Styela clava: one gene and its partners. The protein of the gene in region 2 purifies or fractionates together with the protein of the main gene of each other region. This does not show direct contact. Links are inferred from orthologs where the notes say so. Each region holds a gene or a part of one and is shown on either strand. Other genes may lie near its edges. The genes, in order: signal recognition particle receptor subunit beta-like, syntaxin-18-like, sec1 family domain-containing protein 2-like and NBAS subunit of NRZ tethering complex-like.

Evidence for each region.
Region 1: the proteins of syntaxin-18-like (region 2) and signal recognition particle receptor subunit beta-like purify together in Homo sapiens (affinity purification with mass spectrometry; 3 studies listed by BioGRID and IntAct, counting the BioPlex papers as one, with this or other methods). This does not show direct contact. The link is inferred for Styela clava from reciprocal best matches to the Homo sapiens genes STX18 and SRPRB.
Region 3: the proteins of syntaxin-18-like (region 2) and sec1 family domain-containing protein 2-like purify together in Homo sapiens (co-immunoprecipitation; 3 studies listed by BioGRID and IntAct, counting the BioPlex papers as one, with this or other methods). This does not show direct contact. The link is inferred for Styela clava from reciprocal best matches to the Homo sapiens genes STX18 and SCFD2.
Region 4: the proteins of syntaxin-18-like (region 2) and NBAS subunit of NRZ tethering complex-like purify together in Homo sapiens (co-immunoprecipitation; 5 studies listed by BioGRID and IntAct, counting the BioPlex papers as one, with this or other methods). This does not show direct contact. The link is inferred for Styela clava from reciprocal best matches to the Homo sapiens genes STX18 and NBAS.

What each region holds. Positions count from the first base shown.
Region 1 is NC_135264.1:14,566,992-14,574,787, reverse strand, and holds signal recognition particle receptor subunit beta-like, read left to right. Parts: upstream 1-5,169; 5' UTR 5,170-5,173; coding exon 5,174-5,965; 3' UTR 5,966-7,056; downstream 7,057-7,796. Other genes in the region: signal recognition particle subunit SRP54-like, read left to right, coding at 2,281-3,768; oxaloacetate tautomerase fahd2, mitochondrial-like, read right to left, coding at 7,218-7,289. UniProt on the Homo sapiens protein: Component of the signal recognition particle (SRP) complex receptor (SR). Ensures, in conjunction with the SRP complex, the correct targeting of the nascent secretory proteins to the endoplasmic reticulum membrane system.
Region 2 is NC_135253.1:4,203,115-4,210,611, forward strand, and holds syntaxin-18-like, read left to right. Parts: upstream 1-4,936; 5' UTR 4,937-5,180; coding exon 5,181-6,131; 3' UTR 6,132-6,931; downstream 6,932-7,497. UniProt on the Homo sapiens protein: Syntaxin that may be involved in targeting and fusion of Golgi-derived retrograde transport vesicles with the ER.
Region 3 is NC_135255.1:2,229,639-2,237,082, reverse strand, and holds sec1 family domain-containing protein 2-like, read left to right. Parts: upstream 1-4,749; coding exon 4,750-6,738; 3' UTR 6,739-6,852; downstream 6,853-7,444. Other genes in the region: A-kinase anchor protein 7 isoforms delta and gamma-like, read left to right, coding at 748-877, 1,905-2,065, 2,568-2,680, 3,025-3,166, 3,854-3,900. UniProt on the Homo sapiens protein: May be involved in protein transport.
Region 4 is NC_135260.1:20,997,721-21,005,727, forward strand, and holds the start of NBAS subunit of NRZ tethering complex-like, read right to left. Parts: upstream 3,048-8,007; 5' UTR 3,013-3,047; coding exon 2,913-3,012; intron 2,535-2,912; coding exon 1-2,534. Other genes in the region: glomulin-like, read right to left, coding at 3,613-5,496; ragulator complex protein LAMTOR2-like, read right to left, coding at 7,687-8,007. UniProt on the Homo sapiens protein: Involved in Golgi-to-endoplasmic reticulum (ER) retrograde transport; the function is proposed to depend on its association in the NRZ complex which is believed to play a role in SNARE assembly at the ER. Required for normal embryonic development.

The DNA of each region.
Region 1 (7,796 bases), on a different chromosome or scaffold from region 2:
GTGATGTTTTGATTACGCGAGGGCATTGTTCCACTGTCTCGCGCGACCGCAAATTCATTGTCACTTAATAATCAGTCTTAAATAAAATGAAACGTGCTTTAGCACACGTTCGGGCTGTTTGATGGAAAGCTTTAAAATTCATCGCATTCACAAAATTATGTTTTTTCTATAGCATATTATCTTGTATGTATTATGACGTCATACTACAATAAACAATTGCGAGTTATCAAATTTCTGAAAAAAATATTATAAAAGTCTGATGTAGAAATATAGTTTAGCTCTATGGAACATAAATTCGTAAACCATTGAGCTATCTAGCTAATTCCCGTGCATAGTCAAGGGTATATCGCACGTAGTGCGTCTTTGCAACAATATTTAAAACTGCCGTTCTACATAATTTAAAGATTACCAAGCTTTCGCTTCAACGTAACATCTCACAAACGATGTTACGAATTTAATTTTATATAAATTTTCGGAACAAAATGAAACGAAGGATACAATTCGTCCAACTAATCCACAATGTTTGGCGACATATTTTCAAGATAACATAATGGGAGCCTAATAGAAAACGTCGCCTCTCCTTCAAGTCGGTTAAGAAAATAGCTAACGATTAAAATAAGAAAGATGCAGCAGGAGTGGCTATGTGAATCCCTATTGGATAGCGAGGAGTCAGTCAAACAATCCTCTAGCTCGCAGGGTAATAAGTAGTCTGATAAATGTGTTTTAAAGTTTATCAAGTAAAGTTAATGACGCTTTCTTTTTTACACAGCAGCACGCAAAACACACGGGAGGAATCCGAAAGAAAGCAAATGCTAGAATGTATTTGAAACATTCGCCACGATGAGCAAACTACCAAGCTAAAACAATATCAAATACTAACCTGACATAACCTACGAAACAGAGCAGGTTGCGAGCGATGGCAAGAGTGGCCCTAACACCTAAAACGTGCGTAAAACAGGTCAAAGCAAAACTAGTTTAGAAGTTGATAAATTGAAGTGAAAAGCTGATAGAGTTCGGGTATGAAGTTAACATTCCAGATACATGACATGTTTTTTCAGTAGATTTTTATAAAAATAAAACAATATTACATAACGTTAGTTGGCGGAATGTGAGTCAACACACGTACACCGCTCTCCAGAGGTTTCGCCAATATCAGCATCTTTCTTGCTTATAGAATAATGTTAGATACTCACATTTATTTCAGTTACTCAAATAAAAATTTGACTCCAGGTTCTTTCGGTACAGCATTCAAAAGAAAAATTTCAATTCTACTGCAGTCATGGAAACTACAGTTTCCTCTGTGTCGTCAGAATGGATTAGATTATGAAGTAATAATCAAATCATTTTCTGAGAACATTGTTGAAATTTAAAATCTAGCAACCTGAGAACTAATCTAAATTATAAATAATTCAAATAGGATAGGAATTTCACATTTTTATTTCAATTTAGAAGATAGTCGATACGGCGAACCACGGCTTCCCTCCCGGTTAGTGGTTCAAGGCGGTAACCGGTTACGTGTATTTGTTTCAGATGCATGGGTTTGAATGTAACTAACATTTGACAAAAAGTACCTCAGAACTATTACAAATGAAATTCCTAAATTTATTTATCTGTCAAAAAAGGTAAAAAAAATATTTCTTTATATGCCTGACTGGTACTCAACCATCCATATGCTTGCTTTTCGATGGACGTCATCAGCAATACAAGCCATCGTGGAAGCAATGGAGAAGTTCTTGTCGGTGCTTTCCCGTTTCCAGGTTGCGTCTCTGAGTTTTTGTTTTTTTTAGTTTAAATTTTAGAAAATTCTAGATTATCAAGACTGGAACTGCAGTTCGGTATCTTAAGCATTACAGTACGGTACATAGATTACATCTTTAAGAATCGGAATGTTGAAATCAGGAAATGGGTTCAGTTTTTAATAGCCGATTTGACACCATCAGACCATGTCAGTATGTTGAACTAAATGAACTGGTAACAAATACTTTCTAATGGAAAATGAATTCAATGCCTAGCCTACCGGTACATGCTGGGTATTCACAACTTGCAGACTTTTTACAACTTTTTAAATGACTTAGCAATGGGACAAGGCCTCTTGGTAAATCTGTAAATATCTGAATATTAAAAAACCGAAATACCGGTTTGTTGTTTATGCCTACTAGATTGAATTCCCAAACATATAATTTAATTCAGTATTTATCAGTAAATTTTATACAATTTACAGTTGATAGATCTAAACATAGATTATAATATTAATTTGGAGAAAAGAAGTAAAGCAGCAAAATGGTGTTAGCAGATCTTGGTCGAAAGATCACGGACGCTTTGCGTTCTCTGAGCAATGCAACCATTATCAATGAAGAAGTTTTACAATCAATGCTCGGGGAGATATGTCGAGCCTTACTCGAAGCAGATGTCAACATTCGACTCGTTAAGCAGATGCGAGAAAATGTCCGCTCAGCGATTGATTTCGATGATATGGCATCTGGTTTGAACAAGCGTAAAATGATTCAATCCGCTGTATTCCAGGAGCTTGTGAAACTTGTCGACCCAGGTACCAAAGCATGGCAGCCAACAAAAGGTAAAGCTAATGTAATTATGTTTGTTGGTCTTCAAGGTAGTGGAAAAACAACGACTTGTACTAAGCTTGCGTATCATTATCAGCGAAAAAATTGGAAAACATGTCTAATCTGTGCGGATACTTTTCGTGCCGGAGCTTTCGATCAGTTAAAACAAAATTCAACGAAAGCTCGTATTCCGTTTTACGGCAGTTATACTGAAGCTGATCCTGTGATTATTGCGCAAGAGGGGGTAGAAAAATTCAAAGAAGAAAACTTTGAAATCATTATTGTCGATACAAGTGGAAGACACAAGCAAGAAGATGCTCTTTTTGAGGAAATGTTACAAGTATATAATGCCGTTGCGCCTGATAATGTCATCTTTGTAATGGATGCCACAATTGGACAGGCATGCGAATCGCAAGCAAAAGCATTCAAGGAAAAAGTCGATGTTTGTTCTGTTATCATTACAAAACTTGATGGCCATGCGAAAGGTGGAGGTGCACTTAGCGCAGTTGCAGCTACAAAATCACCGATCATTTTCATAGGTACTGGTGAACATATTGACGATTTCGAAATGTTTAAAACGCAACCGTTTATCCGAAAACTTCTTAATATGGGTGACATTGAAGGCCTTATCGACAAAGTTAACGAACTGAAATTGGATGAAAATGAAGAACTATTAGACAAATTGAAACACGGACAATTCACTTTACGAGACATGTACGAACAATTTCAAAATATTATGAAAATGGGGCCATTCAGTCAAATTATGAGTATGATACCAGGATTTAACGATTTCATGACAAAAGGACATGAAAAGGACTCGATGGAACGACTAAAAAAACTCATGACAATTATGGACAGCATGACAGATGATGAACTTGACAGTAAAGAAGGAGCTAAACTTTTCACTAGGCAGCCAAGTAGAGTCGCAAGAGTGGCGAGGGGTTCTGGTACGCTACCTAAAGAAGTCAACGAGCTTATGATGCAATATGGAAAATTCGCGCAGATGGTCAAAAAGATGGGAGGCATGAAAGGACTTTTTAAACCTGGCGGAATGGATAAAAATGTTAACCCGTCACAGATGGCCAGACTTAATACGCATATGGCAAAAATGATGGACCCAAGGGTTTTGCATCAAATGGGTGGCATGCAGGGACTCACAAACATGATGAGACAGTTTCAACAGGGTGGAGGGCCTGGTGGCAAATGATTGATTTATAAGTAAGAATACAATTTAAAATAATATATTCTAAAGACTAAAATCGCAATTGGAATATGGCTTGCATGAAAGCTCACCAGATTACTTGAGCATACTTAGGCTATATATGAAAAGTTACAGTGTTTTGCTATGTTTAAACTCATAATGCTCATTGGATATTTAATTTTTTCTTATGCTTCACTTTTTTAATAATTGATGATGTTGAAGAGTATGCCAATAAATAGGATTTATTCCCAATGGTCCTTTCTAGGCCCGGGGTTCCCACAATTGTACAAATATAAGGGAACAAACTTCCCAAGGATTTTGACCCAACGTTGAAAATGATGTGATCTGATGATGTAAATTTCCTATTGTTTATGTGTTCATGTCATTGTTGAATTTTTTTATCGGATTGTAAGCAGATTTTAAACTATCGTTGGTTTTCTAGAGATTAGGATATAGAGGAAAACCGGATCGATATTAATTACTGATGTACCGGTAATACAAGGATAAATTCTTGATTTTTGTTTTCATTATGGGAATTTTGGTGTTGCTGTGAATCAACAAGATTTCTTGTTTTATTGTACATTTATTTCATGTGATTGAAGGAAATCATGCCAGTTTTATTCTTTATTCTATTATGAGTTTTGTTTCATGGCGCATGTGTTTGCAAATGAGACAGAATATTATTCGCCGGATATTTTTGTGAAAATATATGGAATTTGTATATATATATATATATGTACTGGAGAATACCTTTTTAAGCAGTGGAGATTGCATAATATTTTGTTTTTCTCATGATCTCATTCTTACAATGCTGTGGACAAGCAGAGTATTATGGACATGACAATAACGAGGAAATTTAGTTTGACAACTAAACAGTCGCATTTTTGTAAATTTTGAAGATTTGGTCTGAATATCACCAAGCCAGGACCAGTTTCAATTAAATTTAAAATATTTTCTCATTATTTATTCTTGCGACTACTTTTATTTACATGCTCAATTGTGTTAGTGAGTCATGCTGAGTGATACTATAGCAAGCATGGCTATGGACTCCCTTGAGGCCTAATTGAGCTAATTAAGAATACAGACGAGACTCAGGGGTTGAAAATTTTGAACCTTCTTGTCACGAAAATTTTCATGGCGAAAAATAAATACTTTGCAACCCTTTTACCGCCGTGGTGTAATTAGCCACTGCTGTGAATCATAGAAGTAATTCTCGCTCCAATACCATAATAAATTGACTTGATTAAAACCCCAATCTCTCACATTGCATCCCTAGCGATGACCAAAGTAACTGGTAGACTTGCACATTTTTGAAAGAGTGCACATTACCTTTAAAAAATATTGTTGCATTATTCTGTGTATGTATATTACGGCTTTTTGATCAAGAAAACTGTCTCTATATTTCAGATTTATGAACTATAGATGTTGTGAACCAATCATTGACATGTCATACTCAATCGAACGATATTTAGACATTTGTCAGGAATATGTGGGAGAGGAAAACATGTTGTATTTTGTGTTCGGAGTTTCGTTCATTATTTCTCTCCTATTTTACCTTGTATGGAAACTAGTTGCTGGCGGAAAAGTCAAGCGACGTGGAATTTTATTCGTCGGATTGAGTGGTGCCGGGAAAACTTATCTTTTGAGTAAAATACTAACTGGACAGGAGATTGAAACTGTAACATCGTTGAAAGAAAATCAAGCAACGTACGCATCAGAAAAAGGAGCTCTTAATATCATTGATATCCCTGGCCAAGAAGCAATCCGGCAAAAGTTTTTTGACCAATTTAAAGATACTGCAAAAGGAATTATTTTTCTCATTGACAGCGAGTCGTTTTCTAAGGATTTGAAAGATGTTGCGGAGTATTTATTTAATATTTTGACCGACCAGAACGTCTTGAAATGCGTGCCGCCTCTTTTGATTGCATGCAACAAGCAAGACCTATTGACTTCAAAATCAAAAAAAGTAATCCAAGATCACTTAGAAAAAGAGTTGAACACAGTTCGGAAAACTAGATCTGCGGCCTTGAGTTCGATTGATGGAGAAGAAGCAACTGTGCATCTCGGTGTAAAGGGGAAGCCATTTGAATTTTCTCATTTAGGAAAATTGAAGGTTGATTTCATTGAATGCAACGCTAAAGGTGACTCTGAAAATGAGTCTCGACTTGATGAACTATTACTTTGGTTAAATAGACAGGCATGAGTGTTTATAGAGCAGCCTTTTCTCAAATTTTTTTTTGTTTTGGAACACCAAGAAATTGTGAAAAGGGTGATAGACTGGCTCAAGGTCTGTCAGCCTGTATGTTGCCATTTGTGAAACAAATTTATGACCCAAAATCGAGCAATTTAGATTCGAGGCTGTTCTGTTTCCACAGAACACAGTTTGAGAAATTCGGATTCACTGATTGTTGGAATCCATTTTCCTTTGTTTTTTGGTGGTTGTTTAATAAAAGAATGAGTGTGAACCTATATTAATCCCAGTTGCAATTATTGCTTTATTCATTTCTGAGAAATCTTTTCTTTGTGGAAATATAAGAGAAGGAACTATTATGGACGTTTGCTTGTAGAGAATTCACAGGGGAAATGCTCGCTGCAGAGCAGGTTGGTTCAAAAAATTCTAGGTGTCCAAAGGGAAAATGTGTGGCTACATTAGTCATTGGGCATGTATGACCTTACGACCATTTCGCTAAATTTTTTTTTTTTTTGGAGAGAAAAGAGGCCATATCCACCCTACAACCTGTTGAGCATGTAAATTGGTAATCCTAAACACTGATTATGGGCTGCTACAGACAATAAGTTTTGCTGAGAATTCAAACCACATAATGTCAAGTTCATGAAATCCTCCCAACAAGCACCATAGCTAAAAAATATTTCACCAGTAGACTCACACCTACATAATATACAGGAAGACACAGATTTAAAAATTGTTCTAAGATTTCTACAATCCTAATGAGTGCCCAAAGAAGATCAAGTCACATTTATACCAAGATCAGTAATATTTATATTCAAGACATTGCGCAGATGGAGAATTTATTCGCCGATGATTTTTACCTCAACTCATAACAGAGCGGTATAGAACTTTCAATATTTATTTCAAAAGAGATGGTACAGAGATCATCACTTGTATAATCATGCTAGATAAATGAAGAGGCTTATTTAATTCACTTCGCGAAAAATATGAAAATCAAAATTGATTGAGAAGAATTTTAAGATTCAACAATCACAATTCAGAATCGTATTATACATATATTTCATCATGATCAAAAGGATCTTAAGGCCATTGGAAAAACACATGCCATATTCTGATACATTCGTTAGAGGTATTATACCAAATAACCCTAAATTTTAATAATAGTAAGAAGTACTAATTCCCACTTGACAGTTCTGCCAACACTTTGCATAAATTACATGAAAACTGATTGCAATTTTTTCAATAAAATCATTTGAACATATTTTTATTCTTCTGCAACAACTGTATTAGTTATTCTCCCAATTCCTTCCACTTCACAGGTGATCACATCACCGGGCTGAAACAAACAACATGATTTATGAAACATTTAAGACTTCATTATATTTAGATAGAGCATTGCCCCCAAATACTGAAAGTTCGACAAAAACTCCCAGCCGTAACCATGACGACCATGCATGGGTAAGGGAAGAGGCAAATGGTTAGAATGAGTATATGGAGTGAGATTTAATGTATTTTCTGGGTTAGGCAGATATAAAACAGGAATATGTTTAGAGCGGTGGTTCCCAACCTTTTATGCCTCATGGCCCCCTTTAGGAGGCATTTAGCACTGATGGCCCCTTGTTTATCATTCCAGAGGTATTTATGATGTTATTTAGATTGGTAGATTCCAAATCCTATTATTTTCAAACAATTCTTGCTCAACAAAGTGAAAGCACCTTGTAAAATAACCTCAGCAAGCAAGACGGGGAGTTTTCTAGTAAAAGTAACATCAGTTTTGCGCTTTCTGGCATGATGGTGCCCCCGCTGGTTTAGAGCAATAAAATATAGTGGGATTCAACAAGTA
Region 2 (7,497 bases):
ATATTAAAAGTTATTTTTCCATAACCACACTGATATATATACTCTTTCGTATGTAATTAGCTACAACGTTTTGATAGCTCGGACACAAAAAATATTTAACCTTCATGAATGACCATGATAGAAAGTTGGGACACTCTTCACTTGCACATACTTATTTTCATGAAAATATTAAACAGCTACAATATTGCTATTGCCCCTGCAGCTGCTGATTGTTGTTGAGCCGGCAGTTAATCTCTCTCCACCTGTTCTACATCTAATGTTGGTGTGTCGGGTTCTGTAGCATGCACAGCAAATTATTTTATTTGTTTATTTTTCAAATGGCTGTTTACACTCTGACATCTGCATGCGCATGTTCCCTTTTTGCTTAACGTTGGATTTTTGACATTACACATGCATGGTCTTTGTTTCTATATGGGTGGTGTGATACCTTATGAGGGTTGTAGACCGTATAGTTTAGCTCCTGTACCTATTATTGTAATTAGGTGACCAGTGGAGATATATTGGATTCTCCCCTTCATTTTAATTTGTTGTGGTATTCTATGATTTGTTTTGTGTGTATACAAAATTTTATCCTAGGTTGAGGTTCTGCTGTGAAGTTAATGTGAAGGCCAACATACGAATGGTTCAGTGTGGTTTGAGAGTTTCTGCATGGTTTGCGAGGAATTCACCCTGTGTCCCAACCATATTTCAACTCTGGTCTTTGAACTAGCGTTTTATAGATAGATAACTAATAATAAATATCTACTCGAAAGGTTGAGGTTCTGCTGTGAAGTTAATGTGAAGGCCAACATACGAATGGTCAGTGTGGTTTGAGAGTTTCTGCATGGTTTGCGAGGAATTCACCCTGTGTCCCAACCATATTTCAACTCTGGTCTTTGAACTAGCGTTTTATAGATAGATAACTAATAATCAATATCTACTCGAAATAATAATTAATTCTAAACAAAAGTGTAGGGTAGTGCTGTTTCCAAATATGTAACCCTTGAATATCCTACTCGCAGATTTATTTTCTGTTTTTCAGGTCGTTCTGTGATGATCAATACAATGGCTAGTTTATTGAATATAAATAGTGTCTACAACAACAAAATTTGCAAGCTGATGTCTCATCCACGACAAACTTGAATTGACATCTATTACGCCACAATAATTAAATGAAGAAATGATCCTGTGAAATAACAATACTAATTCCTTTATTCCTAATTCCTTTATCCTTGCAGAAGTCAATATCTAAGAATGAAAAAAAAAAAACCTTATAACCTTAGCAACCAACATATTCCTATACCCTGTCTTTCTACCTTAATTAATTATAATTACTCATACTTATAAAGTTACTGATAGATTTGAATACTTATTGCAATCTGGACTATAATTTGGCAATAATAGGCTCTAGTTTGGGCAATGAAGTGATCTAGCCCAGGGGTTCTCAAACTTTTGGTGTTGCGGAGCCCTTGGAAAGGTTGACTATTATTCACGGAGCCCCAAAATAAATGTTAAAGTTGTTACTTTCAGATTAATATTCCTGAGCAAGTTAAAAGTACTTTACTTAATTTAAATGCTGAACCTTAGGGTTAATACAAGTCATACATAAATCTAAATTTCAAACATAAATTATATATACACTAAAGCTGTAAATTTGACACTTGACAAACATGTTAATAAATAAGGGGTCGAAACTTTTCCCTTTTGACATTTTTGGAAGACTTAAAAGGCCGCTAATAACGTGCGCAATTGCATTTTGTTACAATCGCCGATTTTTTTCGTCAGCATGGCGTGTCTTTGAATCTTTTAACATCTTTACGCCGGTGTTTATTCTCCCTAAATCAAAAATTTCCCTCGGCATATATATACATGTATAGTTACACAATGACGACGTTATTCGCTTTTTTGTTCTCGTGGGGAATTATGAGTTCAATGTGAAAAACATGTTACCATATTATAGTCATCGTTACGAAATGCTAAAAATAATAATTAATAAAGAGATAAATCCGCAACTCAAATTTCTTGATTGAAAAGCGGCATTCTAAAATAATAAGACTAAAACTTAAAATGGAAGATCACAGGTTTGGTTTCAGCAGACTCACCTCAGATTGAAAACGTATTTATAGACATTGTAAATCACAAAAATTGGTGTTATGTTAGGTTTTCATCGTAGTAACTGCGAAATCGAAACAGAGTCAATGGTGCGCGCGATGTACCTTTTCCCCCATTATGAAACTACCGACGGAGCCGCACGCAATCAATTGTGCGCGCTCCGCGATGTACCTTTTTTTTCATTCTGAAACTACCGACGGAGCCGAATGCAATAAAATAAATTTCAATTGTTCGTTAAATGCTCGCATCGGTCATGGATTAAATATTTTACGCAATAGAAATCTCGTTATCCGTTTTTTTTAATCGCGAAGAATGTTGCGCGGAAATTTCCGATTCCAATTTTGAACCACCACCCTCTTAATAATCCTGGCTGCGCTCCTGCTTATAAATAATGTCATTTTTTAATTCCGCCTCTTTGCCATATTTCGAGGCTATTTTGTTGTCAGATTTTATCAAAGCTGTTATTGCTTCTTATTAGAACAGTTACAAAACTAGTCAGTATTTTGAAAAGTAATCCGATAGCTCGCGGAGCCCCTGGGTTTCTCTCGCGGAGCCCTGGGGCTCCGTACGGAGCACTTTGAGAACCTATGGTCTAGCCCAGTGGTTCCCAAACTTTTCTGACCATCGCCCCCCTAAAGTAGTTTATACAACTTCATCGCCCCCCAGCACTACAAAAAAAATGTAAAGTCAGAAACGAATATATTACAGACCAAATAAGAAGACAAATCATAGTTTATAGTGTTATTTAATGAGATGAATGAGCTCGGTGTTCTTCAGCAAATTTTTTATCATATCTGAAATTACCCAGTTTACTGATGGAAAGGCGATTTCGTTGTTTTGATGACAATAGTAGCACGGCTCAAAAACCCTTTTTCACCATATAATAGGTCGGAAATGAAAGAATCCAGGGTTCTACCTCCTCAAATACCACCGTGTACTCTTGCCTTATAGCATTTCACCCCCCGTAAATTCACCCCATTTCACATTAAATTAATGAAAGCAAAGTTAATTTTCCCAAAGTTATAATAATGATTTTCGTACATCTCATTCATTCCTACAGCCTGATGACCTGCACCAAAACACTTCGGTAAAATTCATCCCCGATTCCTTATCCTACCACGGCCTACAGCCCTATCACCAGTCCATAGAATTAATCAGCTATTTGTTTTTGGATTCATGGACTCGGATGTGAAAAAAAACTGTGACCGACTATCGACTACGGCCCAGGGGTCGGCAAATTTTATGTCGCTCGCGAACTCAACTCAGTCGTCTTATCAAAAAATTATTACAATGACATTTAATGTGACACTGTCATGTTGCTGCATCACGCTTGATAGCTTTACGACGCCAAGATTGGAACATTTTCCAAATGGGCATCACTAATCCCAGTTCTTCGCTTGTTCTTTGTAATGTCTCCATTTTCGAAAAAAATTGTTCGCACAAATATGTACTCCCAAACACTCTTAAAATAAGCACCGAGAATTTTAAAATGGTAAAGTATATAGGAAGAATTTTCCGCGGGCAAAGGTCGGGGATAGGTCTATTCAGTGAATCGTCCCGGTACAGATTTTTTTACTCCGGCCGTATTTTGCCGACCACTGGGATACGCCAACTACCGTACCTTACTGCGGAGACGAGTCCAGCAATCCTTTCGAGCGTGATAATCGACCACGTGATTCAAGCCTGCGAATGCACACAGAGTACAGAATTAAGTGCACGATGCGAAGAGCAAAAACGGATTTCGCGAAATCGCCCCCCTATCGCCCCCTTCGACTTTTTCGTCCCCCTCTGTATCGTTTTCGCCCACCGGGGGGCGATATCGCCCACTTTGGGAATCACTGGTCTAGCCCACCTCTTCATGTACCCAATTCTGGCAACTTTGGTTGGGCATTTTGGCATTTGACTCCATCTATAATCAGCTTGACAATATATTTTTTTATAAAAGTTTATCTTTACTGTTCACTCCCATTTATAAAATTGATCAATTTGGCAGTGGCAATCATGATAAATTTATTAATATGGTGTGGCAAGTAATTTTTATTTATTTATTTTTTATTAACTACCAGTATGTAATTTTTCATGTTCCCTTTACTTAATAACTTCTATATGGTTGTGTGTGAGCGTGTGTGAAATGTTTCAAATATTTTAGGTGAGTGAACACGTACCACATCTTCTTGGCAAAACCTTCCATCTTATATACATTCTGTACGTTTTAAACCTTATCTAAGGTTTTGTTCGCTCTCCTGATTTCATAATCAGTTTTTATTTATTTATTTTTACCATTCATTTTATTGTTTTGCTGATTATGGAGTCGAAATAAACTCATACTTATAAATTTTGGGGGAATGTACCGGTAATGCGTTGCCTAGATATAGAAAAAATATTTGTATGGTACATCAGAGCAAGTTAAGCTTAGCATCCTAAATATTAGAAAATTTTAGGGGTACCGGTACATGAGCGATCTATAAATTGTCTAACAGGAAGTTTTGCAAAACCTGCTTGAAATGGTACAGACTTTTTGAGACCACAAACTGACAAGACTGTTTGAGTTCTGGTTTTGTTCACTTTAGGAGTTGTTAATAAATACACAATGATATTTGGGAATTTATAGATTATTTTCAAACGCCACCTCGTAATCGGAAAGATATTAGGGGTGAAAAGTCTGTAAACCCATCAAAGCATAAATGTTGAATTGAAGAAAAATCAGATCTTTGAATCATTCATTCTAGCCTCAAATAGCTGTAGTCTATTCTACTACTACTATAGTGTTCAAGAAGTCACCTAGTGGCTTCAGCATTTTTCAATCTGAATGGTCCAATGAAGTTCATATCTTCAAGACGATCTGTTCTAGTTTGTCAATCTGATTATTTTTAAGTCATTTATTTGTGAAAAAGCATGTCAAAATAGGACTTTTTGTCACATTTTTGACGTTGTTTGTTTTGGCATAGTTTTCAGGATCGATCACATCTGGACTAGATAGGAAATATCAGCATATGTTTTATAGAAACCTCTGACATTTATTTAACTAATATGTATATCTTTAACCAAATTTTATAGAGTTTTAGTTGGACAATTAAACTTGGATCATAATGCATATAAACTTCATGGATCGTACGAATGATTTTAAGAAAGCAATTCGTGATATTAGAAAAGAAAATAGTATTCTAGATAATACCGTACTGAAGAAACCATCTCTGGATTTACATGCTTATAAAAGGAGAAAATCTGATTTTAATAAGAAGGCCAATGACATTGTCCAGTCTATATCAAAATTGCGGGATTTTTTACTGCAACACCGCATTGCGTATATAAATTCTCATCAAGCAGTAGGCCTTGCGTCACAGCCAATGAGTGATCATGAAAGAGACAAAATTGATGAGGAAGCTCAGAATATTATTAAGAAATGTAATGATGCCATTACAGTGATGCAGCAAAACGTCGAACAAGACAATATATCTGATCAACAATGCACCCATAGGCAACTTGTACTTGCTTCAATACAAAATCACCTAAAGTCTGTATGTAAAATCTACAGTGAACAAAGAGCAATCAGAGTTAAATTAGTGGTTGACAAAAAACGCATTTCACGTTTGCATAATCCGGAAACACATAAGAAAGCTTTGACACAGGATCCAGATCATTCAAACAATACAGAACGTCCAGCTATAAAATTTGAAAGCAAATTCAATTATGAAGAGAGTGATGAAGATGATTTTTCTGAGACTGAAGCTGCAGCATTGGAACAAGAAAATGTTCTGTTATTCAATGACATGAATAGCATGGTTGATGAAGTGCGTGCAATCGAGGGAAAGGTTGTTGAAATTACTCGGTTACAGGAAATTTTTAGTGAACAAGTTTTGCAACAGGAAGGAGACATTGAAATAATATCAGAAAAAGTTATTGAAAGTACTGAAAATATCAAAGGTGGTAATGAGGAACTGCGGGAGGCGATAAAAAACAATGCTGGGTTCAGAGTTTGGATATTGATATTTTTATTGATGTGCTCATTCTCTCTTTTATTTCTTGAGTGGTATAGCTGATAAGGTGCGATAAATATAACTATTACTGTTCTATATTGAAAGGGGTGGTGATAAAAGTATCATTTGGCACTAAAAGGGAATCAAATACTGGAAGAAGCTGAATACAAATGTTGGTATAGGTGTAATTTTTTTAAAGCTAAATCTGATATTGAATGAAAGCGGGGCTGTGAAATCGGAAGAAATATAAACCTGACTCTGAATGCCAATACATTCAACTCCGACTCCCAACTCTGGGCTAATGAAAATTCTGCTTTGTCTCTAGGTTGAGGTGAATTTTGATGTCAGCTGGGAATCCCAAGAAAATCAAACTTTGTTGTTTGCAAGCATTCTTAAGTTATCTAGCTGCTGTGAATGCTTAGTCAACCTGAAGCTTTTTGAGTTTTGTTAGAAATTTTAACTTTGATTGTCACCATTTAATTCTGAATTTTGATTCTGTGGGTGTGCAGTTTGAAAAATGGGTATCTCAGTCGGACTCCAACAATATTGATGGACATTTAATTCCATGTTCCAGTTGTAACAATTTCATTATAAAATCATTTTATGATCTGCAATTTACACTTGTCTTTATTCTCAGTATCTGATTTCAAGGCCACTATGTTTTTCTTAAAATTTGCTGCAATATTTACAGCTTTTGTCTATGGCTTTAATATATATAGATTATAACTTTGCTAGGTAGTGTGAATGCAACTGCATTATTATTAACCACAAGAGAATTGAAAGTATATGGTGTTATTTATCCACATTGTAAAAGTTTTTTAGAGAACACTTGCGAATAAAACTGCCCATAAGAAGATAATGAATCAGCATCTGATAGTGCCTGATTTAGGTTATATTTTTAAGGTGAAGCACTTTCAAGCAATCATTAAAATGTGTTATATGTATAAGTATAAAATCAAATTTAGTGATTTTATGATTTAGCTTAGCAAAGCTGAATATACCTTAAATTGCTGCAATGCCTGGAGGTATAATGAAATTTTAAGGTTTGTAAATTTGAACCAACCACACAAATTGTGAATCAGCATGCTATGGATTATCGCACTCAATTGTGGGTATTGCTGCTGTCTAGTAAATTTATGAACTAGTTTCAGTTTCTTTACGCAAGTTGCCCGAGAGAACCAGAATACATAAAATATAGTAAGAGGCTCAAGAGTTTTACTACAAACATGCGGAAATGTGTACGAAGTTGAGTACCTCCGACATCTTTCAGATTGCGCTCATTATGATTATGAGGTGCTATCCCTGTCCATACACTAATAACACACAACAATTTTTTCCACAATTGGTTCTTTGTGCCGTAAGTGGTCTGATTTTTGAAAAGCCGACAATGAACAATGAAATCTTTTTTTACTTTTGAATTTATAAAACG
Region 3 (7,444 bases), on a different chromosome or scaffold from region 2:
AACAAATGACAACATATCGCAGAAAAATTGATGCTGAGTGCAGAGGATTTTTAATAGGCAGAAAATATTTAATGCAATGGGGATATAAAATCCATATTTCCTGTATTCTATTCAAGAGATGTCACTGCTTGATTTTTATAAAAAGTAGTTTCTTGAAGGAAAACTATATCGAAATTTGATAAACCGTGAGAAAAAATTCACATCAATGTTTGGAAGTACATATGCGTGCGAACAATTAATTTTGCAAATGAACATTACAAAGTGATGCCCATTTGGAAAATGTTTTAATCTTGGCTTCATCCAGTGTGCCGCCTGATATGTTGAAAAGCTATCAAGCGTGATGCAACAAAATGTGTCACATTAAATGTCATTTGTGATTTTTTTTTCTTTTGATAAGTTTTTAAAAATATGTGTGGCTCGGCAAGACTCGCGACCCTCAATTTTTGTGAGAGCGTCAAAAGGTTACCGACCCCTGCGCTATGGGATTCGAACCTGTAAACCTATGCTGGATTATCAGAGGTGCATTAGCGATCGTATTACTAATGCTCAGCACAATGCGCCACACCGCCCAGTCTAAGTCAAGTTGATGCGATGTCTGAACTAGTGTATGCAGGAGCTCAGTTTCAGTGATAATTTATTTCGAACATATTTTAGATTAATCTAATATATCTTTATAACCACATAGATATTTTGTCAAAATGAATCACGAATTCGCATTTTCTATTTGAAATTTTTATAATGGTCCAGGTAAAATGAAAGAGGTTCAAGATTGCATTGTGGCAAAGGAGAGTATATTGGAAAATGTTGTAGTTGGTGTTGATCTTGCTCACATTACTCTTTGTCTATTGTCTCTCCCGAATGAAAGCACTGTGAATGAGTGAGATGAAAATGATGGTTTTTCTCTTGATTTTTGAAAAATCATTGATCTATTAAATTTTACATCACTGGTAAATAGAATGAATCATGTCATGTTTGCTATAGCTTGATTTGGACATTTCTCAATTTTTTGTATTGCTGAATTTTTTATCTGAGAATTTCAATGTAATCTATATATCATGATCATGTTTCGAAATGTATTGATTATATATAAATCTTAGTGCAAATTTAACTGATGAATCTCATGGGTTTTAATTGTTGGAGCTCGTAACTTGACATTTTTTTGGACTTCCTTGGCTCTCACATAGGTGTAAATTGTTAATCCCGAAATCATGATCATGGAATATCACCATTTATTTGATAGTCTGTTATAAATGCTGACATCTATTCTCACCTATTCATGATTCAAATTATTGCAATTCATGATTTCTCATGTAATTTATTCTACCAATGAGATTCAAGTTATTCGTGAGACCGAAAAATTAGATTTGAGTGTTTTTCGATTACGGTAATTTGTAACATTGATCCATTTTGTTATGCATCACCAGTAGGTAGGTACCGGTATATGTAATCAGATGTTGGCAATTTTATATTTTTGCCACTGTCCAAACTTGATGGTTAGGTTTTTTAATATATTGACCATCAAAATCATAGAACTGAATTGAATAAACTTATTTATTCAAACTTATAATCTGATAATATTTCGAATTAATCTTGTTTTTCCTCGTATGGATTGGATGCCGATTAGACGCAGCCAAACTTTGTCCATTATTATCATAAAATAATTCTTCATTATTCGAATATTTCTCACAGAATTATTCATGAGTTTCCTGTTGGACAAATTCATGAATGACATTATGTATTCAAATTTCGCTTGGGTTTCTTTATGTAAATACAAATACAGTACAACTATTTGAAGAAAAAGCATTGTTAGTCATGTGATTTCATAAAATGGGCTTCAATTAACTTGAATTTAGGATGTGCAAAACAGATATGTTTTTTAAATAGTTGTTTGTTTAAACATTCAGAGCAAATAAAATACTGCAAAGATGTAGAGATGACTTGATGTCAATATTAGATGGTGAGCCTATGAATCTCCATATTTCTGGCATTGGACATTTTGATAAAAGAGTGGTATTTGCTAAAGTTGTTCCTGGTGACAATGAAGAAAAGCTGAAACTGTTTTCAGGTATGAAGCTATTTTAATATATGGTATAAGTGAATAGTTGAGAAAAGAAAAATAAAAAATATTTGCTAGATCTCATACAAAGGCTGACATTGTTTGGTTTCTGTTGGTCAACTCAGAGCGGCATCTTGCAAAGCTTTGTAATAATAAAACTAGTCGGATAAGCATGCATTTAAAAAAAATTTTACATTGAAAAAAAATAAGGAGTCCAATTACATTTTTAATGAACCTTCAACCAATGTTATACTATATCTGAGAGAATAGGCTCTGGTATGCGGTCCCAATTTTCAGTTTAATTTGCCCCTTCCATAGAAGGATAAAGACTGCCATATAGACTGCAATTTGCAAGGTTCATTTTCAGGGCAGATACGCAAGGAATGACTGTCTTGTATGCCTGAATTTCATTACATTAAACATTGTTTGGTTGTCGGTTTTCTGAAATGTAGATTTCGGACTTCTAAAATAAAAACCACTTACATCCCAAATTCTATTTTTAAATTTATAGAACATTTCGACAAGGAATTTGCATTGTTGAAGAGTACAAATCCGTTTGAATACACTCCACATGTTACTTTAATGAAACTTTCCAAATTGAGAAGTTTTGCAATGAAGAAAAAGGTATTTCAATATGATAGTATATCTTCATGAAAGAATTTTGTACACCCCTTTTTTGATGGATATTGCTTTGTTGAAAATAGACTGCATGTAGCTCATGTGGAGTCGGAGGTCATCTGAGATTTGTGTCAACCCGGGGTCTCTGCGAATTTCAAACTTCGAGTCCCTATCGAGTCCGAGCCATTGTAGAGTCATGCTCCCCGAACATGATCATGATCAATATTCTTTGTCTTGTAAGTCTAAACTTTTTAAAACTGATTTTTTGTGCTGCAATAGTTTGTAGTCCTACACCTAAACAGGTGACTACCAGTACCAGTCTCAGTATTTTTGAAGCATTTTTATTTCAGATCAAGCAAATCAGCCCAAAGCATTTTGAAGACATTGAAGATATGGACTTTGGTCATCAGAATGTTAAAACCGTGCAATTACTTGCCATGTCAAGGAAGAAAGCAACAGAATATTATTTTTGTGAGAGCGATATATCAGTAGGTAAATAAGTAATTTATATTATGAAATGAGTAAAAGAGCCTAAAGTGATATCATTTTATTTTTGAATGTTCGCAATCAACATTTGTTTTTTTGTAGATTCTAGTGCAGTGCAATTTTTCTTTTTCATTATAGTTTTTCAATGGGATTCTTTGTAGCTTTGCCCTGATCAAAATTAATAAACCACGATTACCTGCATAAATTAATATACATGTTTCGAAGTAATTGTTCAATATTGTAGTATTTTTTCTTGCTTTCTTTAATGATTTTTAATTAATTTGTACCATCAAATTAAGTAGTAAAATGAAATTTTGGCCAAATTCACTTTTAATATTTTATTTTTAATTCAATAATTTTCAAGCATCATTTTGAAAACAAACTAGATTTGATTAATATTTAAATTGGATAGGATTTATCGTACCTATTGAACTTGGAGGGCTTCCATAATAGTGAAGGCTTTCACAATAGTATTTGCATTGTAAGAATCTGATATGATCATTTTTAATAATTTTCTTCATATCACAGTGATGAACAGAAATAGGCTTACGGTATCATTGTGTTCATTGAATGATATAATGCTTGAATCAATAATAAGCCAGTTTGACTCTTGGCTTTTTCAAATCTTTGTCTTATGAAATATAGTTAAGATTCTATATGAACATGTTTTAGTTCAAGTAATTTCTCTTTTAGAAGAATCTAATGTTGAAACCACTGAAGCTGAATATGCAGAAGAATGAACAGCAAGTATTTGCACAAATCTTACAGCTGAAACTAAATTTATATTGTATGAAACCCCAAGAACTTGTATAAATGTGCCAAGTTTATTCACTTCAACTGTAGTGTTCTTCTTTTAATTAACTTTGTGTGTTCTGGAAATTGAATATAAGGAATGTAAGTAGTTGTGTAGAAATCATTATTTTATTGCAATTTGGAATCCCTTTGATTTTGATATTCTCAAATTAAATCAGTATTTCCTATTTTTCTCTATCTTCAACCATTGTTTTTATTTATTACTTTCCAATTGGTGTCATATTGATTCTCCAGCTATAGTGTATGATCAATAGTTAAAAATGGTTTTCTGTTCAATGGTGCAAATTTTTGTTTCTTTAAAAAGCATGGATCTATATTTTTATGCTCATTTGTATATAATGGTTGGCCAGAATGCAGAAGGATTGGCTATGTGAATCTGGTCTACAGGAGTCCATATCCAGCTAGTACTTCTGGAATCCTGTTTTTTCAATTTCAGTATTATTAGAAAAGCGATAAAATCTTGCAAAAGAGTACATTTCACAGATAGACAGCCATGTTTTGTCTCAGTATTTGGATATCATTTAATTAATGTTTACACATACCTAATAATATACTTGGAATGTGATAAGAGTATAGTGTATTGATAATCGCATTTGCGAAAAATTTGCCTTCTGTTTTTTATTGTGAAACATTTTCATCATTTATAATTTTCATGAAAATTTGATTTAAACTTGTGCAAGTTTCTATGAATTTTGTCATTGACTATTGCATGTTCGTTGATATTTATGTTTTTCTTGTGATTTGTGTGCATTATTACAGCATCACTATTGATAGTCATGAATAATTTCTTTAAGCACACTTGCCTGACACCCTGGAAGAAAGTCGCTTTAAGGGTTCAAGATGCAGTTATTTTCATGGACAATCCTTGTGCGGAATGCTTGCATTGGTGTGGAGGAGCAGATCTTTTATTTGAAAGTGGAGCCACTAACATAAGAGAATTTTCTGCATTTGAGAGTGGAACAGAAAAGCAGGAAAAAGCTGTGTTTATCATAAGCTCACCTCTTACTGGGAAGACAACATATACTATAGAAAATATTTTGTCTGCAAGTTCTTTTAATAACTGTTTGGTGATCACAACTCTAGAGCCTAAGTTACATCAATATGCTTCAGGGGAAGAATATCTGAAAGAGGATGAAAGAACTTTCGAAGATCTGGAGCATGAACTACAAAAATGGATGGGTGACACCAATGTGCAAACCGAAATTCTTCATCTCCCCATATTCATGGCACCAATGTTTGAAAACTTATTTCTGACGCCTTCATTTGATGCATTTTTTCCTGTTCAACACAAAGATCTAATTGAACTGAATATGGAAGATTCTGGTAGAAGCACGATTAATCTTAAAGATCTCCATTTCTACATGTGTCCTCATGAATACAGAACTCTTGTTCGAATGTTGACATCATCTTTACGACAATGTTTCCACTCTATAGGTTGTAAAGAAGAAATATTTGCACTTGGGCCAACAAGCCACCTGTGTTCAGTACAGCTTTCCAATATGGTTAATCAACAAAAAAACACTTATCCAGGGAAAATCGGTGTCCTTTTCATTGACAGAACTTTAGATTTGATTGGCCCAGCATCCCATGGGGAACGATGTTTAGTTGATCAATTACTGGGAATTTTGCCCGGCCTTCCTGCTCATTGTAACAATGTGTCAGTTGATATGTCAATTTTATGTGATGCTTGTCCTGAAGATGTTGATGATACAATTGTGTATCCTGGTTGTTTGGTTCCAGATACAGATGAAAGCCCTATTCTTGCGGAAGCTTGTGGAGTAAAAAGTGTAAAAGCAGTTTCACAAATTCGAAACCAATTGCTTAGAGCAGTCACAGAAGAAGGTCTTAATGAAGATGGTGATATTTCAACCAATGAACCTAATCCTGCTGATAATATTGAAAATCTAGTTGGTGCTTTCAAAAGAAATGCTGGTGCTGTTCTGTACAATAGTGCACTACTTCAATTTGGTTTGGCCACTGCCCAACTGCTAAAAGATGAATCTTGTGAAAGTTGGGAAACATTGGCTATGACGGAGAAACTAATTCTTCAGCAGTTGGGAGATGATGATGTCTCTAATATTTTGGATCAAATCACCAAACTTGCTAAGGACGATTCAACTACTTTTGAAGAATTGTTGTCTTTAATGATTTATGCTTCTTATGCATTTAAAAGTCACATAGATATTGATGTGTATGAGAATTTGTGCGATTCTCTTTGTGAGATCATTTCCAACACTCAGTGTGAGGATCTCCCAGAGCACTTCATGACTTCTTTTAAGCTCTCTGAAGAAGACCTGAAAAACAAAGCCAAATTAACTCACACCGTCTACAGAACTTTGAACAACCTTGAAAAAATCGTCGTAAATGATTTGCATCTATTTCATATATTGAAATTTGGCAAAGTTGAGCCCCCTTCTTACCAACCTCTGCTAAGTCAAGTTATTGAGCGAATATTCCATCCACTAAAACCAGATCTTGAGCCTGACATTGAGCATATTACAACTGGTCGCAAAGACTTACTTAAAATGGGAATGAGTATGTTCCGAAAAGTCACTCCTCCCAGACCATGTGATTTTCCTACTTTAATAATATATGTTATAGGAGGCATTACAGCTACTGAGGTTTCACAAGTCAATGATGTTTTACGAAAGTTTAAGTCAAATCAATGTGAAGTTATACTTGGATCAAACAGATTAACTTCACCATCCGATGTTGTCGACAGAACTTTGTTTACAGATAACCTAAATCCGGATTTCTTTTTGTAATAAGCGTTTGTGGTTGCGCTCTTTTATCTGTGAAATGAGTTGCAAATTTCGTGGGACATCATCAGCTTCTGGTGTATATATTGTGCAATAAATCAAGTACGGTAATGTCACGTATGAACCGCGTATTTTATTACAATTACCATTTTCGTCTGAACTTCCCTGTTTACCTCAAAAGTTTGCCGTCATATTTTCAGCTAGATCTTATGCAAAAAGTGTTTCCTTGTGGTCTCCATGTGTTTTACCGTATTCCGTCAGCCCATCTATTTCCCAGATAATTTTTACTTCTTTAAAGTCAACCGCGGAATGTTTACCACAAGGATTATTCTATGTATATTTTGTCGGATGGTCGCTTGCAATCTTCCATCTGGTAGCACTATTTCAACTTTCCGTGATTAATGATTCGGGAAACACGCGACCTAATTTGGTCTCGGGACTATGCTATAATTTCAGTCAGAAAAACATGAAAATATTCCACACGATTATATAATCGACGACGTCAAATCGAGTTTATTTTTTCCAATCAGTAAAAAGACAAAAATTAAGGAAAAACATTTACATTACTGGGGAAGGAAACCAAAACTGGTTACCGATACCGAAAAGATGAAGTTGCGTTGATTTATCACGCAATATCTCTTCCGCCGTCATATTGCTGTTTGATAAGGGCGGCCCGGCGACGTCTTGGCGTCGTGTAATCACACTTTTCGCT
Region 4 (8,007 bases), on a different chromosome or scaffold from region 2:
AGTATCCATTTGCACAGCCTGTTGTAAATACCATTCTTTGACCAACTCTGCAGAAAGTGAAGTGACTCGAAAAGTTTTAAGATGTTTGTTTTCTTCATAAAAGTCATATGCTGGATCCACTGGTTGTGTCAGCAACGTCAATTTATGTTGATATTCCTCTTTTTCACACCAATCTTCAGGATCACGATGCTTCACTTCAGGCCATTGACCGACTTCTCCCTCCTCATCAACGTAAGGCAACAAGCTTTTATATTCTGTAGGAGAAAGTGTCTTTGGAAAATTTGACAAAATAGGAAGACGATGTTCTCGTAATTCATCTCCATGAAATGTTAGCAATATATCAACTGATTTCCAATCGCATGAACGAGCATATTCTAAAGCAGAAGTTAACATGTCCTGTTGTCTAAAGATTGCAAATCTTTCCCTGTTGTAACGTTCTCTTGCTGCATCGTAGCCGCCCAGTAGACTTTCATATGTAGAAAGTCTGTCAAAGTATTTCAGAATCTTTTTTCTTGTTCTAATAGTTTCTTTTTGTTCAAGTGATAAATTATCAAAATCAAAATTTTTCGACCATTTTTTAACAAATTTTTCTCTTTGTCGTATTTCTTGTTGTCGTTGTTCCTCAACATCAAATCCTTCATATTCTTCATAATCTGATTCCGAATCTGAGGAAGTTGATGATGATTTAGATTCAGTGTGTTTCACCTCTCCAATTTTATCAATATCTGTAACTGTCAGTGCAAACTTTAAAAGCTCTCTAGCAGCATCTAGTTCGTCAGGTACTCTTTCACAACACTCGTGCATGACCCATGATCGTTTTGTGACTTTGCTTAAATAGTCCTGAATAGATGCAACTGAAACAGGTGATTTTCTCCATTGCCTTTGGAACACTTTGTCACTATCTAAGTTATATCTACGTGCCAGAGCTAGTGCTTCACCATATTCTTCATCATCCAATTTTTTTTCAAAAAGTTTCTCAGGTGTTGTTTTTGTCAAAGTTAACAGTCTATATGACTTTGTAACAAGTTTGGGCCGCTTTCTTGGAGGTCTAAAATATTCAATTTCAGTTAAATCATACATGGTTGATTTAGTGTAGTTTTTCAAACGGCCTGCTATACCTGGATGATCTTCTTTGTCACTGTCATCCAAAAATGGGTCATATTCCTCATCTTCCTCCTTTTGTGCTTCTTCTACCGAATCCATACGTTGTCGCTTCAATGTTTTAACTTGAGGTTGGCATTCTAACGCAAGGAAACCCTCATCTCTGCAGAATGATATTCTCGGAGCTGGCTCCAACCACTCGCATTGTTCACCAAAAAGGTTATCAAGAGACAAACCAGAAACACGTACAACTGTCAATGAACCAGAACAACGTGCTAAAATAACACTGGAGTCGTTCCACCACTGACAGTCAATAATGTTTTGTAATAAAGGATATTCCTTGAACTTTTTAGCAGAATTTATAGATTTCACAGCATCCGGATCCAGGCTATCAAAAAATGGTTGATCTTCTTTGTTCCAACATCTTTTGTGTCTGAGAGAAGGGATATCCCAGATGGAAAGACTACCGGATATTTGAATTGTAGCCAGAAATTTACAACATGGTGATAATGACATCGTATATATTCCATCAAAAAACTGTTTTCGCAATTTTTTACCCAAACCTACTGGAACAGTGGACAGCCTCCTCAGAAAACTCTGATTTCGTTTAGCATCATCAACATCTGAAAAAACATTCAGAGCTTTGAGAAAAGGTTCTTCTGACAGAAGCCGCCATGCTGTTAATCCAATCCTAGTCGCTCTCGGTACATCATCATCGCTCGTGGCATAACCAGCACATCCACCAACAATAATCATACTGTGGTCCTGATTATAAAGAACACCACTCACTCCATTAGAATAACTAGGTGAAAAATCAAATTCATACGTCATTTGATAACCTCTTTCATAAATGCTGTTTATTTCAAGACAAGTCGCCATTCCACTGTAAGACACGACCAATAAATGCAAACTGTCATCTTTATGTTTGTGTGTCACTTCATGTCCAATGAAAGTCAAACTACAAATGGCTGAACTATAATCATAAGCTTTTTTGTCATCATTCATGTGACCTTGATAAGTGAGTAAAAGTATTCCTTTGAGGTCACACACATAAACGGTACCATCGCTGTCAGAAAAAGCAATTGTTGTAGAATGTAGACTCCAAGAAATTTTTCGCCATTGAGGAAAAAGGTCTTTTGTAAAATTGCAACGCCCGACTAGCACACTGTAGTCATCTTTGGATGAGAGAACTTCCAAACATCCATCTTGCAATACTGCAATAAAATTACCATCAGGTGATCTAGCAAACATCCATGATTCTTGGCTGTTTATTAACTTGATCAAGTCTGGTGGCAAAATACATGATGCTCCTGATCTTACTGGAATACCAACAGCCCGGACAGTTGCCCATGTCCACCTTGATATTGAAGACTGAATCCGTTTGGCATTGTTGTAAATGACATTTGATTGAATTTCATCTTGTTGTGAACCTCCTGGAATATTATAAATTTTTATAATTACAAACATATTCAAGCAGCCAAATACAATTACGATTAATGACTGGTTTTAAAATTAAAATCGATTTTCACAGAATTAAAAAAAAATCTCTATAAACTGAAATATTACCACTGAGTTGTGGTCTTGTGGAGTCTGAAAATTCGCATTAAACTGCAAGCTGACTTAGGCTACTGAATAAAATATTGGGTCTGTCTGTTTGAAAATATATTTTCAACTTTAATATTAATAAAAGCTGTCAAATTCAGAGAATACACAGCTTCGTCATCGCCATGTATCAAATATGCTCACTTGCATAAAACTTTTTTTATATATGGATTTTTTTTTATATATGGACCAAGCAATAAATATCTCACCGACAACTTCCTTTTGTTCGGGCCATTCCACTTGATATGACAAGTCATATAATATTGCATCTTCTTCCAATGAATTGTCAGCTTGATTGCTAATATTCATTATATTTATGTATATAAATATATACTAAAAATAAGAATAATATATAAAACTGATCTTAACAAGAAATAAACTCAATAATTCATGGATGCATAATAAATTTGCATGTTACAAATTTCAAGTTATCTCCCGAAAGATATGTTATTAAACATTCAAAAAATAATTGAAGCATTTTTTTCGAAAAGGCTGACTCTCTATAGCTAACTTCTGGTAATTTAAATTGCACAACAGACTTTGAAAACAGATTGGGGAGTGACAAAAATGAAAAACAAAGTCATTAATTTTTATTCAAATTAGGAACTACGAGATAAATAGGTACTCCCAAAGTATGTGAACCAAGATGGAGGACACCGGAACGTAGTATGTGTACCAGGTTAGGCCATAATTTCAGGTACAAATACTACGAGTCACTTGGCTAGTCTCCGAACTCGTAATAGAACTAAAATAAGGAAAATTGGAATACAATTAGGGCCTAACCTTAACGTGGTACACATACTATGTTCAGAGTATTTTGGTTCACATACTTCGGGAGTTCGAATAAATAATACAAGCATATAGAGCTACAGCCGTTTTATTCAATATATGTTTCATTAATTGAATAAATCATAGCTTGTTTTGAGTATGCTTTTCACATCCACTATTGTGTTTTGTGTATGAAACATCTATCAACTCAATTACCCTAATTGTAACAATTTCAATCATATCAAAAGTATGCAATGCTGCCTCAAGTGTTCGCTTTTGCTCCTTGTATGGTAAAGTAGGTAATGGGGTTCCATTAACAAGAAATTCAGTTTTATTATCATCAGGACGTTTAGAACTCCGATCATACTTCTTTAGTTCATTTTCATAATGAGCTCGAGATAGGTCAATAGCATTCCTCAAAGGTTTTAGAAACTCTGTATCTAATTTATCCAAATGATCAAGTATTCCTGTTTTGTTCGTCTTATCTCTGATAAGAAGGAAACGAAACAAATTCAATGCAGGCATGAGTCTGTCACAGTCTTCAAGTAAATCAGTCTCTGTTCCTTGAGGTAATAAAAATATCAGCTCTCCTAGAGTAGACATTTTATGAGCTTCACAAAAAATTAAAGAATTTTTCGGGGAAATTTCTTGTAAAATTTCATTGAAACGGTCTTTTAAGTAACCAATCAAGACTCCTTGCACACCATTGTGATCTGTTGTTCTGAGCAGATGAACTAAAATTGAATATTTATCCTCCCAACGAAATAAATTCAGTAGTTTAGTCACATGTTGTATAGCAGTTGAACGGATAGTTTTCGAAGGTAGCATAACAGCAATGCTAATGAGATTTTTAAAAACATCAAGGATGGGATTTAGTGATTGACTACGACCTTGAAAGCTTCCATAAGACATCTTTATATTATAGACAACTTCGCCACATGAGATTGAGCTATCACTTGTTTGATTCAAAATGAATGAAAGAGTTTCTAAACCTTTCCATGCCACACACTGGTTTTCACAAGAAAGTAGAGTGTTTAGTGATATGCATGTAAATACCAGAAGACATTGACTCGAATAAACTTTAGGAAATTGATCATAAAGCAAACCTCTACACAGCAATAAAAAAACATAACATGCTCTCGCTCGATCGACTTGTTTTACAATTTCAAATTTAGCTTCCATTGACCGCTCCTCAGCTGGTTGTAACTTGTACCAATTCACAATATGCCACAGAACATTTGGTGAGTGAAAATGTGTTATTTTAAGCATAACGTCACAGCATATTTTTGAAGTCCCCGGAAAAATTACATTTTCTCTTATCGAGTCATTTTCTTTATCTGGTAAGGGCTCATCTAAGTCAACTTGTCCCAGCATTATGAGCAAATTGCATAAAAACTGAAACATATAACTTTCAAATTGAAGAATATTTGAAGATATCTGGTTGTTTTTAGAGTATATTTCTCTCACCACTGGGTTTAATAAATCAATATATTTAGAAATAAAACTTTCAATTTTCTGAGCTTCGAATTTTTTTGTTCGTTTTAATGTGGGATCAAAATCTTCATACTTAGGAATATTTAGACTTTCAAGATAATATGATAAAGTTGAAAATGTAGTTTCAAGGACAGTGATACACGCATCGATGTCATTTAAAGCAAGCTTCTCAAGAACATTTGATAATGCAGGCATGAGAAGTTCAACATACATCGACTCAATACTCGGGTCAAATTGTTCCAATATACCCAGATAAACATCTTTCGGTACTGCGAATCCAGCAATTTTCTCCAAACATTTCTCATATGTCTTCAGATTTTCAGAAATGGCATTTTCTCTGAGAAAACTTATAGTGGAACCGATCAATTCCCAAGCAACAGGTCGGATAACAGTTTCTGCTTCTTTGTTTTCGTTGATATAATCCCACAATTTTTCAGGATTCCCAAGAGCTCCTTGAAATTTAGTCTGGAAACTGTTACTATTTTCCACATCCTCTCCATCATGGACATGAGTTAATTGAGAACTAGACATAGTGAATGCGACTTTGTTTAAGTTTAAATTGAACAGTTATGTAGGCTACCCTACAAAAAGTTATTCCACAGATCTAATCAGAAGCAATCATCTAGAAAAATTGATGCAAAATATTAAAGTTCAGAATGAAAATGGCAAACAAAACCAGATATATCATCAGTATTATTAAGCTATCACAATATGGAAATTTAGGGTATACGTAATCATTGAAAGAAAATAATCAGTAATGGATAGGTCAGGAATAACAACAAGTTTATTCTTTCCCAATTAAAGGAAACAAATCCTTGACACTGCAAGTCCGCAGCTACCATTACATATTTTGGGTCTCGTGTAGCACAGCAATTTTTGCACAATCCTAACCCCCACCTGACTACGCCATCTAAAAATTGCGTCACTACGACGTCACAAACACGTCATAGAGCTTGTCAAAGTATACCTACAATCGCCCCAAATAGCATCTGCGCCGACGATAAACAACTCACTAACAGCAGCGATCTCTCTCGTATCAGGATCGCTGCGCCGACAAAACGAGAGAAATAGCTGTTCCATTTTGGGTGAACGTTTGCGTGTCTTGGATGACAGTGCATATAGTTTGAAGGCCCTTATTATGTCACTGTGATGGTGTAGTGACGTGATTTTTGGATGACCCCGTCAGGTGGGGGTTAGGATTGACATATGCACAAATTGTTATGCTTCACCCACTAGAAGTACTTTGGGTACGAAACTACACTAGACCCCATATTTTTTCTTGTATAATTAAACCTTGCGGGTATCTTTGCATCAACAAGTAGTGAATTTATCATACAGCAGGCCACATAGATGTGTCGTGACCATGAGACCCCTAATTAAATATCCAAATAAATGTAACATAAAATCATGATGACCAGAGTATAGATTCAGTATAGAAAAAATAGCTACTTTAGCAATTCATTTCACAGATTAGGATATCTGTGTTCATAAATTTAAAAGTAATTCTTGTAATAAAATGTTTATACCGGTAATTAAAACATTTTATTAATTATTATCTTTTGAATGAAACGCTTCATGTAGAATGACTATTTCAATCAATAATAGAACAATATTTAACCTTTTATAACAATATCAATAATGAGCATTCTCTATTACTATCAAGCAAGTGTAAATCTGACTAAATAATTGTTTTTACCAGATAATTACATTTGTTCATAGTTATTCATGAGAAAATGTTGAACAGAAATATATATAAAAAAAAGAGAATTGCACATTGCAGAATTGAACACATCAAATGAAAATTGTGGCAAAGAAAAAATATTATTGAGTCATGCATACTGACATAAAGGCCTACACTTTGCTCATACCCTATCTCATATTATCAACAGAATTTTACGTCGAAATATTTTGAACGCAGTGAGTAGGGAGAGTAACTATAGAATGCCAAAAGTTTTAAAGAATATTGTCCTAAACTTTGTAAAATTTTCTGATATTTGACACCTCACTGTAACAGCACATAGAAATGTATTTCAGATGTAACCAAATTGTCTGATGTCTCAGCAGGGCTGGAGAGTCTGAGTCATGAAATTTTATAGAAGGCTGGAGTAGGAGTTATCAGTTAAAGGGTTTATAAAGAGCGAGTAGGGAGAGTGGCTGAAGAGAGAGAGAATGCTAAATGTTTTAAAAAATATTGTTATAAACATTGGAAAATTTTCTGATATCTGACACTTCACTGTTACAGCACATAGAAATGTACTTCAAAATTTCAAACCAGATGTCTCAGCAGGGCTGGAGAGCCAGAGTTGTGAAAAATTTTAGTGGCTCCATCTTATAACCATTTGGTTATTATTTTACATATATAATTTTCTAATGCTCCCTATAAATAATTTTCAAGTTAAATTTGTATAATTAAAAGTTCAAGGTTCCACCTAAAAATTTGAAATCATTATACAGTTATATTAATTTAGCGGACCCCTTCTGTGAAACTGCATTTAGGCTGTTTTATGGTAGGCCAAGTAGCTATATCAAAAACCTAATGACAATCGATCCTAGCTCACGGTAAATAAATGAAGGAATCAAATAAGGAATAAAACTTGTATCCCTACATTTCACAGAAAAAATACAATTAAAACTGTTCTGTTCATTTCGCAGACATAGAAAATAGTTGTTAGAATGTTATTAATAAATACTTGCAGATAACTGGATAATGTCTGTACATCATTATGTAACTAACGCAAGGTTTTTGAGAGGTTCACTCAAATATTTTGTCAATGCATCAGCTTTTGCTTTCAACATTCCCACATTGACAGATTTTTCTGCAAAAAGACACAAAATCAAACTTGCAACTCTCGTCATGACAACTCGACCATCATCGCAGTCCAAAAGCATAAATTGTAGATTTTCATTACTAAGTGCATTACTTCCACTTTTCTCATATGCAGACCAAATGCTACTCGTAATGGCAGCTTTCACATTAACATTTGTATCTCCATATCCAGAAAATGCGACTAAGGATCCTTCATTGTTAACAAGAAGTGTGCT